Callithrix jacchus: one gene and its partners. The protein of the gene in region 2 interacts with the protein of the main gene of each other region in a biochemical or structural test. Links are inferred from orthologs where the notes say so. Each region holds a gene or a part of one and is shown on either strand. Other genes may lie near its edges.

Region 1 (4,099 bases), on a different chromosome or scaffold from region 2:
GCACTACGGTGGATTCCCTACTGTATGCTCAGCAGTATGCTAGGCATGTAAAGAGGAGAGGAAATCAACACACACATCACAAGAAAAACACCATGGCAATAATACATTTACCTTTAGTAACCCGCACAAAGAAACCACATTGAGGCAGTCTGCTACTCTGCTCTGCTGAACACGATGCCCCCCAACCAGCCTCACTGAAAGAGCAGGCACTCCATCACCACTCCCCAAATGCCTGAGGGTGCCAGTCAGTCACTTGGCCTCCTCCTACCAGCTCACAATCAACAGTCTGGGAAAGTTCTCTAGTTAAGCAGGGTTTACCTGCTCAAACAAAGGTTGTGAGAGGAAAAAGGATGGAATAAGCAACCTCAAGAGGACCTAGAGAAAGCGATTCCCAGTAAGGAGAAAGACACAGTTGGCAAGCAAGGGAGAGAAAGACTGTGAGGCAGAGAACACGCTCCTCTGTCTCCAAAGACCTCTGTCCCATGCAGAACCAGCTGCCAAACCCAGTGATGAAATGGAAATCAACCATCCCTCCCTCTCAACCACTATTTCACCCTCAGAAGCAAATAATCCACAAGTAATAGAAGGGTCAACCCTGCAGAGAAAAACTCTTGTCTAGAACTTCTCTGAGTTAGGAACTCAGAGTTCCTAACTGCCCAGATGGCAGACAGCCAGGGGGTGACAAAACAGAAAAACACAGTAAATGAAAGGAGGTAAGATTTTTCAGAGAAGAATCTTCACATGCAAGAGTACAACTGCTCTACTGGGCTACAAAGAAAGGAGGGAGTAAAAGGGAAACATAAAGGACAGAATGAGGGGAAAGAAGGCAAAAAGCACAGCAGCCCTGGGGCAGAAGCGCTCCTTTTTCAAGTCAAGTTGTTCGGCCTAGGAAAGTTCTCCACCAATAAAGGTGTGACAGGCAGGGGACTCTCCACAGCGCAGTCAGCAAAGGACGCTGGAGTCGGTGAAGGGGAGGGATGGAAAGTGGATGCCTCTCTGCTCCAAAGTGAGATGACCCAGAAAGACTAAGACTTGGGTGACAAACCATAGCACTGATTGCCAAGATGAGGGGGGACCGTGTAAAGTCGTGAGGCTGAGGTGTAGCTCAAGAAACTAGCACGGAAAACACCTGGACTTCCTGGGAATTAGAGACTAGCCGAAAGGAACAGAATGGATCCAAGCATGGTGGGGACACATACGACATGAAGAAGGCAGGAAACTAACGTGGAGACGAAGGGCAACCCTGATTAAAAGGCACAGTAAGGAAGGTGGGTGAGGGCAGAGAAACAGGAAGGCAACAAGCAAGGAAGATACTCTGAGAAGGGCCAGGCACGGGAGTGAAGACACGGAAAGGCATCATGGTTTGTGTTCCAGTGCACAAAGACAGAAAGGCAAAAACTGTGATGCAGCGAGGTCCGGGAAAAGACTGAGCAACAGGTTGTGTTAACGCGGTGGGGCCAAGCGTCCTTCGGTTGGGAGGAAGAGCCCAGGAGAAGGCTGGCAGAACACTCACAGAGACAAACAGGAGGCCCAGAGACTTAAAAGCCAAACCCGTGGGGAAGAGAACAAGAGGGATCCAAAGACTCTGAAGGGAGTGATGATTGTTACCCCAAAGGCAACCTGTGGGAAAACTATGCGCATGACAGCTGTGGGAAACACGGAAGCGACAAATGCCAGCGCCAGGATTCAGGGAGCTCCTGGAGAAAAGAAGGGAAAGTGATGAGCAAAGAGTAGGCGAAGGATTTGGAAAGGTGATGAGGGTGGAGCTGGTGGGTTGCAAGCAAGAGGGAGAGCACAATTTGGAAAACGACGAAGCAGGGTAGAAAATGTGAGGGAATTGCAAGGGGCCAAGATCGAGAGCACAGTCAGGGGCAAGGACCCTGAGGGTGATAACCAGAGACTAGCAGAACCGGTGCGGGCGGAGGGGAAGCGAGGCAGGAGAGACGAAGGGAGAGGTGGACAAAGATCTGTGGCAAATCGCCGGGTGCTGCTATTCGAGGGGCGGGAGGGTGGCTGCTTTAAGCGTGGGTGGAGGAAGACCAGAAAGGCCCCTGAGAGAAAAAGGGAAGAGAAAGGGAAGCTGGGGAGGTGACACGGAAGAGCGCAGGAGGGTGGTGAGGGGAGCGGGGGGGTTGGCAGAAAGACAAGTGTACAGCTTGTAGTCAGGACAAGGTGGGTCCCAGGTCAGGACTCGGAAGCGGTATGTGCGGGGCCGGAGCCGGGAGCCGGATGACAGGGCAGCCGAGGCTTGCAGGATGGCAGCAGGGGCACAAGGAGAGCAGAGGGAGGAGGCTCCGCAAGGTGCAAGGGGCCCAGCCAAAGAATTCGGGGAGCCCTCAGGGCTCCTTACCTGCTCCGTGTCCCTCTCGTTCAGCGTGGGTAGGGGGGTCCGGGCGCTGGACATGGCGCCGGTATCTCGGGGGAGGGAACCGAGAAGCTTGGAGGAAGGGAGGGAAGGGAAGGCGCGGAGCCCGGCCGGGCGGGGCTTCTCACAGCAGGAGCACCCGCCGCATGGGCCCCGGCCGGGGGTGCGGGGAGGCCGGGCAGCCGCTCACGCCAGCCCGGGGATGCGCCGCTCGGGCTAGGCCGCGCCGGCTCCGAGCGGCTCCGGACCGCACCCCCCCGACCCCCGGCTGGGCTGTGCCGCCCTTCGGCCGGGCCGCGCCGCTCCGCCTACTCTCTGCCGCCGCAGCCGGCCGCCTGCCTCGCTCCTCCCCTGCCCTCAGCGGCACTGCTCCGCGCCCGGCACACAGGCAGCCGCCGCCGGACCTGCTGCTCCCAACATGGCCGCCACCACCGCCGGCCCTCGGCTCTTTCCGCCGGCAGCAGCCGGAAACATCCGAAGCGGCTAGAAAAGGGAGGTGGGGAGCGCCTTCTCCTCCCGGCCACAGACTACGGGTGAATTCCGGAAACAGCCGAAGAAGGTAAACTCCGGGGACGCGCGCACCTCCTCGATTCCGAAGACGAAGTTTCGGCTCTGTTTACGGAAATTCACGAAGCGACCCCGGGTATCTACCCCTCCGCCCCCTTACACAACCATCCAGCCACGCCCACCGGTCTTCCCCCGCCCACTTCAAGAGGGCTTTCGGCAATTTCCGGAAACACCCGAAGCTGCTCCGCGTGCTGAGCCGGCCACGCCCCCTCCCGCCGCGCTGCTGAGGGCGGTCGTCGGCCATTTCCGGCAACACCCGAGGCCCTCCGAGCCCCCGGTTGTTTCCCCGGGTGGCTCTCGGAGTCTGATTCGCTTCGTGTCTTTCCGTCAGTTTTCGGGTATTTTCAAATCTTGAACGGGAAGCGTCGGTCACCTGTCAGTGCTTGTGATTTGACTAAATACAAAACAAGGTTGTTAGCCGTCCCTGCGATTAGCATCCTCTGGTTCTATAGCAACTTCCTGTCTGCATTTCTGTCCGTCTGTCGGTCGTCTCATAAAATCCACCTCCCTTTTATCATCTAGCCTATCAACATACCTGTCTTATGCAGAATCAGTCTATTGCCTGTCTGCTTCCTATCCACCACTTGCCATCGTCTATCTTGGCTTCTATGGATCCCCGCATCTAGTCCGCAGGGCTCGGCAAGGCCCCAGGCAGGCCCAGGGCAGCGTCCTCTGCACTGGATGCGGGAGCATCCGGGGCCCTGCAGTTCAGCCCCAGCTCTGCCAAGTGAAAATGCCGCGTGATCACATAACATCACTGAGTTTAGGCTCCTCTTTCCTATGCCTTTGCTCCTACATTGACACTCGAAATGACGTTTCTGTATTCCAATTACCTTTTAAAATGCCTCTGCAAGATAAGGTATTTAAAGTTTCTTTTCTTTCTTTCTCTGGGCCTCATTTTCCCCATCAGTAAAGTGAAGCCATTGGATTCATGAACTCTGAGGTCCCTCTCGGCTTTGGAGAGCCCTTGACTAACAGGAAATCTATTTGGCAACTGCAGTCAACTCCTCACTTCCCCTTACACTGTTACCAAGGACAGGCAGTATCCTGGGCTGATTTCCCCAGCACCAAGCTGTCCTCACCCACAGTAGCTGAAACACGTTGGAACCACACCCTCCCATCCATGGCTTAAGGTGGGCGGGAGGCAGAGGCCCCATGGAAGTCAGA
Region 2 (4,019 bases):
CACACAGAAAGCTCTCAATACAGTTGCCAACTTGAAGAAGTGCTTTCCCAAGATAGGCTGGCCACCAAGCCACGATTAGCCTCTTAAGCCATTTTATGAATATTTAATTTATGCCTTGGTGTCTCAGATTCATCAAGGTAAAGTATTCTATCTCTTCTTAGTATATAAAAGAGACGGTCCTAAATTCAGGGGTTCTCTCCTATTGAAATGATCTGTATGAGAGTTCTAATAATACCTGGTCTCTCTCTCAAGCTACACATCAACTAAACAAAACTCTCCCCCAACTTATGCCATCATAAAAAGTAAAATTTGTAAGAGCCACAAAATAAAACAAATATTCCTTTGACTCAGAGTCACCTTGATGGAGAAAAAGAAAAATTATGTGGCGATTCTGAATTGCCTCAAGGTTACTAACTGCAAAGTAATAGTCTTTTCAGAAAGAGACTGAAATATATGCTGTGAGAGCACCCAAAATACATATACAGAAAACCCTGTTAACATGGAATTCTTGAGTCTTTCCTTGGTAACAGATAATGCTGTTAACAGCCATTACCATATGTTATTGAAGGTGAAGTCTACCATTACTTTCAAGCGGGCAAATTTTTTTTAATACAAGCAATTCAGTCCAAAGAACTTTTACAAGGGCTTCTGCAACGTCAAACAGGGACTGGAAGCTAAGAACACACGATGAATAAAACAAAGTTTTGACTTCATAAAGTAAATAACCTCAAGCTTTCTCCACTTCAGTGCGCACTCTGTCTGCATTACTTTCTTTGCCCCTTTACCAGCTATTTCCATCCACCATGGTTTTGTTCGGAGCGCCTGTCGTCGTATTAGAAAAATAGGTTAAAATAGTTCTGTGGATTTTTTTTTTAAACAAGGAGTTGGGGAGGGAGCCAGAGCGAAATTATTTTTTCTATTCCCTTTTGAAAAAAAAAAAAAAAATCACCAGTCTAGCATGCCAAAGCCCACCTAAAATACGATGTGCACAAACACATAAAAAGTCAGTAGGCCTCATGTAAAAGTGGCACTTAAAGAGAGGCAAATCATGTCAGATTATTTCCTATTTTATTCAAAGAAATGACTGCAGCACTGAAACGTTTAAAAAACACTCCTGCATATAATACTGGTATTTCAATTTTAAAAACTTATCTAACTGATCAAAAGATTCGTGCAATGACAAAGCTAAAAATGTTCTCTCTCACTAATAAGGGTGAATCACACCAGCCACCTACTCCACCCAACAATCACCCTTGCTAAGGCTGGACAGTTCAAAACCTGGAAAGCTTGCTCCAAACCAGAAACGAATTCGCTTCAACACTAGTGCACAGCTACGCGACAGCAAAGAAATGTTACTAAACGTTGAAATTTACCAGGACATTGTGTTCTTCAGATAGAGCTGTGCCCTTTTAACATTTACCCAACTCCCCCATCTCTCCTGTTTATAAGGGGTGGGGGGCGCAACAGACATTCTTACTAGAAAAATGAAGTAACTGCTCAGATTTTCGAAGTAAATTTCAATTACCGGGTTTGGGGAAAATCCCTACCACACTGTCTAACAAAAAGGTGCCTGCGCCTTCTTTCAACTGCCTGAAGCGGGTGAACCGACTCAATACATTTAAACGGCTCAGAGATCTCGGGACACAGTCTCCCGGCACAAAAAACTTACAACCGCCTTTCAGCCTCGCAGAGACCTACTTGGATGTTTCCAAATTCCATCGTTTGGTAGCTACCCAGCATCTGGGAAAAGAGATGGACTTGTCCTTGGAAAAGCGGTTTCGGGAGTCTCCAGAACCAGGGAAGCCAGGGCTCGCCTGAAACCCTCCACCTCGGCAGACAGTCCGGCAAGGTCCGGCTCACGTTTCCTTGCTTGCCCGCGAAACTCTCGATGAAAAGCACCCCACAAAAGGCCTCCCCCGCTCCCCGCGCCGAGGACTCACCAGGACCGTGGTGCAGATGGATCTGAGCTCGGACTCCACTTTCTCCCGATAGTCCTTAATCAGCTGCAACTTCTTGTCGGAGGTGTCGGTCTTCTGCTCGATGCTCGAGATGACCCTCCAGGCGGACCTGCGGCCCCCGACCACGTTCTTGTAGGCCACGGAGAGCAGGTTGCGCTCCTCGTTGGACAGCTCGGCGCCCTGCTCGGTCACTGCCTTCATGCAGGTGGCCATGTCGTCGTAGCGCTCGGCCTGCTCGGCCAGCTTGGCCTTCTGGATCAGCTCCGTCTTCTCCATGGCGGGCGCAGGGCCGGGGCCGGGGCGAAGGGTGAGGAGAGCGAGGGCGAGCGCCGACCCGGAGCGGGAGGAGACTCAAGAGCTGCGGAGGGGCGGGGCGGCGAGGCGAGAACAAAAAGCAGGGAGGGAGCGCCGTCAGACAATGCGACCCGCTGCCCGCTTTTGTCTCCTGCACACGCGGCCGCTTGAATTTCCCTCTCCCCAGTCCCAGCCCCCGCCCCCGTCAGGCGCCCGGAGAGGCCGCGGCCCGCGGCAGGAGGAGGCGGGGGCGGCACGGAGGCCCCGCGCGCGGGAAGCCCGAGCCGCGGCCGCTCCCGCCACCCCCGCCCGGCCGGCCCAAGATGGAAGCGACCGTTGGCCCCGCACCTTCCCGCCCAGAGCTGTCCCTGAGGGGAGCGGCGTCGACAGCCCGCCGCTCCCAAGGGCGGCGCCTCAGCCGGGCCCTCAAGCCCAGAGCGGCCGGAGGAGGCCCGCGGCCAACCCAGATGCTCACCTTCACGTCTCCGCGGCCGCGACGCGAGTCCCACCACTTTGATCTGCCTTTGGCTTTAGCCGAGGACCCTCCCGTCTCAGCCTACCCCGGAGCCGAGGGGCGGTCCGCCGCCCAATTACGCGCCGAGCTTGCCCCGAGAGTCCCGCCCCCCGACGCGCCACGGGCCAGTGAGGACCGAGCGCGCGGAAGGGGGCGAGGGGGCGGGGCGGGAGGGAACGCGGAGGCTAGGAGGGTGGGTCGGCGCGGGGAAGTTCGGTTGGCCGGCAGGCTGCGGCTCCGGCCACGGGGTTTCCTCCAATTAGATCCAGGGTAAAAGGACGTCACTGTTGCCATGGTGATGCCGTTACCAACTCCCCTCAGCCTCCCCGCCACCCCGGCACTTCTGGGTGCGGCACGAGACCCAGAGGCGCGCACGACCTCCGAGGCGGCGGCCGCGTCTCCCGCTGCGGATGGTGCATTGCATCTCGCGGGCTCCGGCCGAGGCTGGACTTGGGAGGGTGACATAATCGGCTGTTTGGAGCACAGGGGCCTTTCTTTCCTCCACCTTTCCCTCCGTGACAAAGGTTTGGATCCCAAGACACTAAACCCAGACGTTAACGACGTTGCCACTAGGGTTCCGAATTCAGCAAACCACATCCCCATTAAAGAAGAATTGATTCATGGAGACATTGGCTTCAGTATGGCATTTACATGATACATTCAAGTTTTCAGATGGGCACCTAAAACAAAAAAATTCCCTTATGAAAAGGTATGTCCCAGAAGATCCAGGCGAGTCTCTGCGGTTTTCTTTAAAATGGGGAATGCCAGTAAGCACAATTTGCAGGGAAACACCTATAACTACCCCTCCCCCCCAAAAAAAGCCTGCCCATAACATCTCCCTCCCCAAAAATCAATTTTTATGTTTCTTTCAGGCTTTCCAGGTTATGCGTCTAAATACATAATTTTTCACATCATTGTCGCCTGTGCACACGCTTTTCGTTTCTGGTATTATTTGTGAGAGGACACTTGAAAATCTGAAATCCTCTCCCTGGGTATTGATTTCTGATTTTCTTCTCCTGGGGAACACCCTGCTGAAGTGGGGAAGATTTCCCCAGGCTCCTCCCATTCAGGGTCATCCCTGGCATCTCACTTTCCTTTTAAAGCACTCCTGTCTCTCCTGGCACTTCCCCAGTGCCCTCACTCCATCCAGGTAGGGTGACTGTCCTGCCCTTCTGGTGAGTGGCCTTTGTGCCATCTTAGGATGAGAATTGCCATCTGGGTTCACACTGCTCTGATCCCTATTCCAGCAGGTC
Region 3 (4,270 bases), on a different chromosome or scaffold from region 2:
AAGGTCAGCGAGTCCCCCCGCCCACGGAGATCCTGAAGGCACCCCATGGTCTGTCTGCTTTCCCAGGCCTCCCTGGTGAGTTCCTGCTAGAACTGGGATTCTCAAAGGCAGGTGCTGACTGCTTGGTGGTAGTCATTCCCTTCAATACTCACGTCTGCTCCGCCATCTGGGGGTCCATAGGGCTGGGGGAGTCCATGCAGAGACCTGAGGGGATGGAGCACCTTGGTTTGAGGGTTGTGGCACTTTCTGTATACTTTCCCCCACTATGTCTCAATAAGAAGAAAAAACCCGTGTCTAGTTTGGACTTTGACACATTAGAAAATGAAACAAAAACCCAACCATGGACCCTGAGGGCTGACACATTATTCCCCAAATAGTACAGGGTTCCACTCCCGGTTTACTATGAGACAGCAGCTTTTCAAAGAAGAGGTTATAGAATAAGAAGGTTCTAAAGACCAACTCTCAGTCCTGAGTGCTTCCCAGGTAGGGCTGTGGTTAACTTTGGTGCCTGGTTTTTTCCATAGGTGAGATCTCATCTCCCATGGAGGGCCCCACCCTCCCACCCACTCAGCCAGTCTGCGTTGGGTGTGGTGAGCCCCACCAGAGGCACGCCTTCCTCCCATCTCTGTGGAGGGTCGGGGAGCGGCTCCTGGGCCCACCAGGTTGTAGGGAGGATGTTAGTTTGATCGGCAGGGAAATCGGGAGGCCCAGGCAGCCCCCGAAAACTCTCCTGGCACTGGCAGACCTCCCCAGCCCCCACTGGGCCTCACCTGCATCAGAAGATTCAGAGGATTCAGACGACAGGGAGGATTCAGACGACAGGGAGGATTCAGATGCCCGTCTTGACAGGGGTAGGCATGTCAGCCGGCCGCGGCTACGGAAGAGTAGGCTCCCTACCTGACTCTCTGGGGTTTCGCTGGGAAGGGAACAGGGACCCAGGAAAGGAGAAAGGTAAATGTGGGGCTCAAGGCTTTGCTGGCCTGAGTTCCCACTCACTCGCTGAGAAAAGAACTGAGCGAAACACTACACCGGGAAAGTGATGGCCCCAAGGGCCGGCCCTCTTCTCAGGTCAAGGCAGGCTCATTCTACAGAGGCCCCAAAGCAGCTTCTCTTTGTTGACTGGTTTAGGACATGTCCTCCTAAACCAGGTGAGCCCAGGGTGTGAGTAAGGCAGCCTGGCTGGAGGCGATCTTAGGGGTTGGTGGTCTAGCAGAGCTGCCCCGGAGGGCCTTCCCCTAAACTGTCAGACCCCCACCTTTCCAGGACCCTTCCTGAAGGATGGAACAAGACCAGGTTCTCCTACTGGGACAACCCAGCTCTCCCCTTGCAGACTTAGGAAGCGCGATCAGTGTATACGTAATTGCCTTAACTCTGAGCACAGAACTAGGGTGGAGGGAGCAGGGGCATGGATGTGTGAGTGCTCCATGGCTCTGCCACACTCAAGTTCCCCCCTCCAGGCTTGGGATTCCCATCCTGAGGCAAAACAGGTGGCTATTTGGGTAGAGATTAGGGAGGCAGCGTGGTGGAGGCACAGTGAGGTAGGAGGGAGTGAGGGGAAAGAAGACTCGGGCAGGCTTGTGCGGACCAAGAGCAGGTCACCTGGAGGGTGTGGGAGGCACAGCCCAGGTCTCACCTCCCATGTCCTGGGCCCCATAAAGGGACAAGAGCGTACCTCTCCACTGCCCAGGACGCCTCCCCCGGACTCCACCTCCTGGATTAGGATACCATGCTCAGTTCTCCAGGAGGCCCAGGACTCCAGTCCGGGCCTCTCACTCCCATATCCAGCCTCCTTGGGGTGTCCTACCTGCCGAGCCCGGCGAGGTCGTGCATGGTCTGGGTGAGGGTGGTGACCGGCGAGGAAACGGCCGCGCGCACTGGGGACCCTAGGAGCCCCTGAGGTCCCAGCAGGAGGCCCGGGAGGTGGCCAGGACGCTGGGCGCCACCGCGCACGCCGGCTGGACTGAGAGCCGAGCCTGGCGCGGGCTCGGGCTGGGGCACCTCCATCGCCCCGGGGCCGGCAGAAGGCTGGTTGGAGGGCCAAGCGCAGGGCCTCCAACAGACGCCGGGACAGCTGGCTGGGCCGAGGGAAGCAGCGGGCGCGGGGTGGCGGGGGGGAAGGAAGGGAGAGAGGGAGAGAGGGAGGGAGGGAGGAAGGGAGGGAGAGCCACAGGACCGGGCGCGAGGGAGAAGAGGGATGCGGGGAGGGTGGGGTGTGAGGGACGCAGGGCTCAGGCACCAGCCTGGAAAGCCTCTAGTTGCAGCTGCCACTTCCACCTCCTTATATATTCGAAAAATAACAGCGGCCGCGCCGCTGGACGCCACCAATGGGGTAGCGGGTTAGAGGAGGGCGGGATCGAGGGCGGGGCCCGCGGGGCTGGAGGCGCGGAGGCTGGATTTCCAGGCTTTGGGTGGGCCAGAGGAATTAGGGTTTATCCCACACCCCCGCACATCACCCTGGGGCGAGGATCCTGGCCTCCTGAAATCCGCCTCTCGCGACATGGTTTGGAATTCCACATTCCAAAGTCGGCAGCAGCGCCCTAGGGTGGCCTCCGCAGGACCCCCTGCAGCTTATCGTCACCTGGGATCACAGCTAGGGACCGGGAGTTTGCTAAACCGGCTCCCGGAAATTTGCTAAACCCAGCTGCGCTGTGCTGTCTGCGTTAGGTATCCCATTTTACAGACCTGGACGTTGAGGTGTGAAGTTCATTAACTCCTTCAAGGTCTCGCGGTTGGCAGGCCGTGGGACAGGATTCGCCCAATGCCTGGGCCTCCGACCCGGCAGCCTCCCCGCCCCCGCGCCTGGCTGCGCTGAGCAGCAACAAAAAGTCATTCGCAGGCAGAGCGCCTAGCGTAGGAGGTGGGAGGGGAGTGGGGCCCCCAAGCGGAACCGACGGGAGCTTTCGGGGTACTCCAGGTTAGATGTTACCCCAACAGATTCAATTTTCGCGGCAGCCCCAGTAGTCCCACTAAACGGTGGGACTAGACATGGCTTTCCGAGGCTGGGGGTCGAGGAGGGTGTCAGCGGCCAGAGAAGCGAGTTAAGTATCACGTCCCTTGATGGTTTGGCTAACTTGGTGCCAATGGCACCATATTATTTAATTGGTGTTTATTTGATGACCAGACCAGAGAGGCTGAATTTATCATTCGTTTAAGCCGAGCATCTTCCAATTATCTAAATGCCTTCCAGCCCCGCCCGTTTTCCAGGCCTCCTGGAACGGGGGGGTCTGAAGGCTGCACCCGAAAACCAGTGGCTAGTAAGCAGCTTTCGCATTTCATTTCGTCTCCCGGGGTTAGAGGTGGCCTCTGGCTGGGTGGGCGGAGGTGCGGGGGGATGGAAAGGCTGAAGTTCAGGAAGGCAGGAGCGCCCCTTCTCGTGCAGTCCCAGCCTCCCGGACCCAAGGCAAATTGGATGGGGGTGGCAAAAGGGAAGGCCTGTAAGATGGGGGGCTGGGTGGGCCAATTCATGTGAAGGGGAAGGGAAGATCCTAGCCCCACCTGAGAAGGGTGGCCAAGGTGGGAACCCTGACCTTTCCTTTTCTCCACATTTTGCTCAGCTCCTGTGCTGTGTTCCAGGTCTCAACTTCTGGTTCATCCTCCCTAGGTCAGGGGTCATGCCCCGGACCTCCAGCCACCACTCCCAGTGAGGACGTGACTACCCTCAGTGCTAGGATGGAAGGGGGAAGTACCCTTGTGAGGCCACCCACCCCCAAAACAAGAAATAAAACCACTCCGAAGTTTGCATTTTCAAGATCAGGTATGCCCCTCATCCCCACCCAGCCAATATACATCTGCACAGGGTGTGTGTGTCAGGGCAGGCATTGTATGTTGAATCCCTTGAAATCCCACAGTCAGGTCACCTCTGGGCCAGGGGGAGGTGGCAAGACCACAGAGGGGTTCTGGGATTTTTATGTTTTGTTGTCGTTGCCTTTTTTTTTTTTTTTTTGAGAAAGAGTCTCTCTCTGTTGCCCAGGCTGGAGTGCAGCTGCAGGATCGAGGCTCACTGTAACCTCCATCTTCCAGGTTCAAGTGATTCGCCTGCCTCAGCCTCCTGAGTAGCTGGGATTACAGGCAGCTGCCACTATGCCCGGCTAATTTTTGTATTTTTAATAGAGACGGGGTTTCATCATGTTGGCGAGGCTGGTCTCGAACTCCTGACCTCAGGTGATCCACCCACCTCAGCCTCACAAAGTGTTGGGATTACAGGCGTGAGCCACCGAGCCTGGCCCACATACATAATTTAAAACATTTGAGTAGCCACATTTAAAACAGC

The links.
Region 1: the proteins of YWHAQ (region 2) and MARK2 form a complex in vitro, tested with the Homo sapiens proteins (2 studies listed by BioGRID, with this or other methods). The link is inferred for Callithrix jacchus from reciprocal best matches to the Homo sapiens genes YWHAQ and MARK2.
Region 3: the proteins of YWHAQ (region 2) and CDC25B form a complex in vitro, tested with the Homo sapiens proteins (2 studies listed by BioGRID). The link is inferred for Callithrix jacchus from reciprocal best matches to the Homo sapiens genes YWHAQ and CDC25B.

Annotation. Positions count from the first base shown.
Region 1 is NC_133511.1:120,886,263-120,890,361, reverse strand, and holds the start of MARK2 (serine/threonine-protein kinase MARK2), read right to left. Parts: upstream 2,802-4,099; 5' UTR 2,405-2,801; coding exon 2,351-2,404; intron 1-2,350. UniProt on the Homo sapiens protein: Serine/threonine-protein kinase. Involved in cell polarity and microtubule dynamics regulation. Phosphorylates CRTC2/TORC2, DCX, HDAC7, KIF13B, MAP2, MAP4 and RAB11FIP2. Phosphorylates the microtubule-associated protein MAPT/TAU.
Region 2 is NC_133515.1:105,348,049-105,352,067, reverse strand, and holds the start of YWHAQ (14-3-3 protein theta), read right to left. Parts: upstream 2,806-4,019; 5' UTR 2,728-2,805; intron 2,317-2,727; 5' UTR 2,235-2,316; coding exon 1,941-2,234; intron 1-1,940. UniProt on the Homo sapiens protein: Adapter protein implicated in the regulation of a large spectrum of both general and specialized signaling pathways. Binds to a large number of partners, usually by recognition of a phosphoserine or phosphothreonine motif.
Region 3 is NC_133506.1:11,323,014-11,327,283, reverse strand, and holds the start of CDC25B (M-phase inducer phosphatase 2), read right to left. Parts: upstream 2,802-4,270; 5' UTR 2,005-2,801; coding exon 1,805-2,004; intron 917-1,804; coding exon 771-916; intron 205-770; coding exon 153-204; intron 1-152. UniProt on the Homo sapiens protein: Tyrosine protein phosphatase which functions as a dosage-dependent inducer of mitotic progression. Directly dephosphorylates CDK1 and stimulates its kinase activity.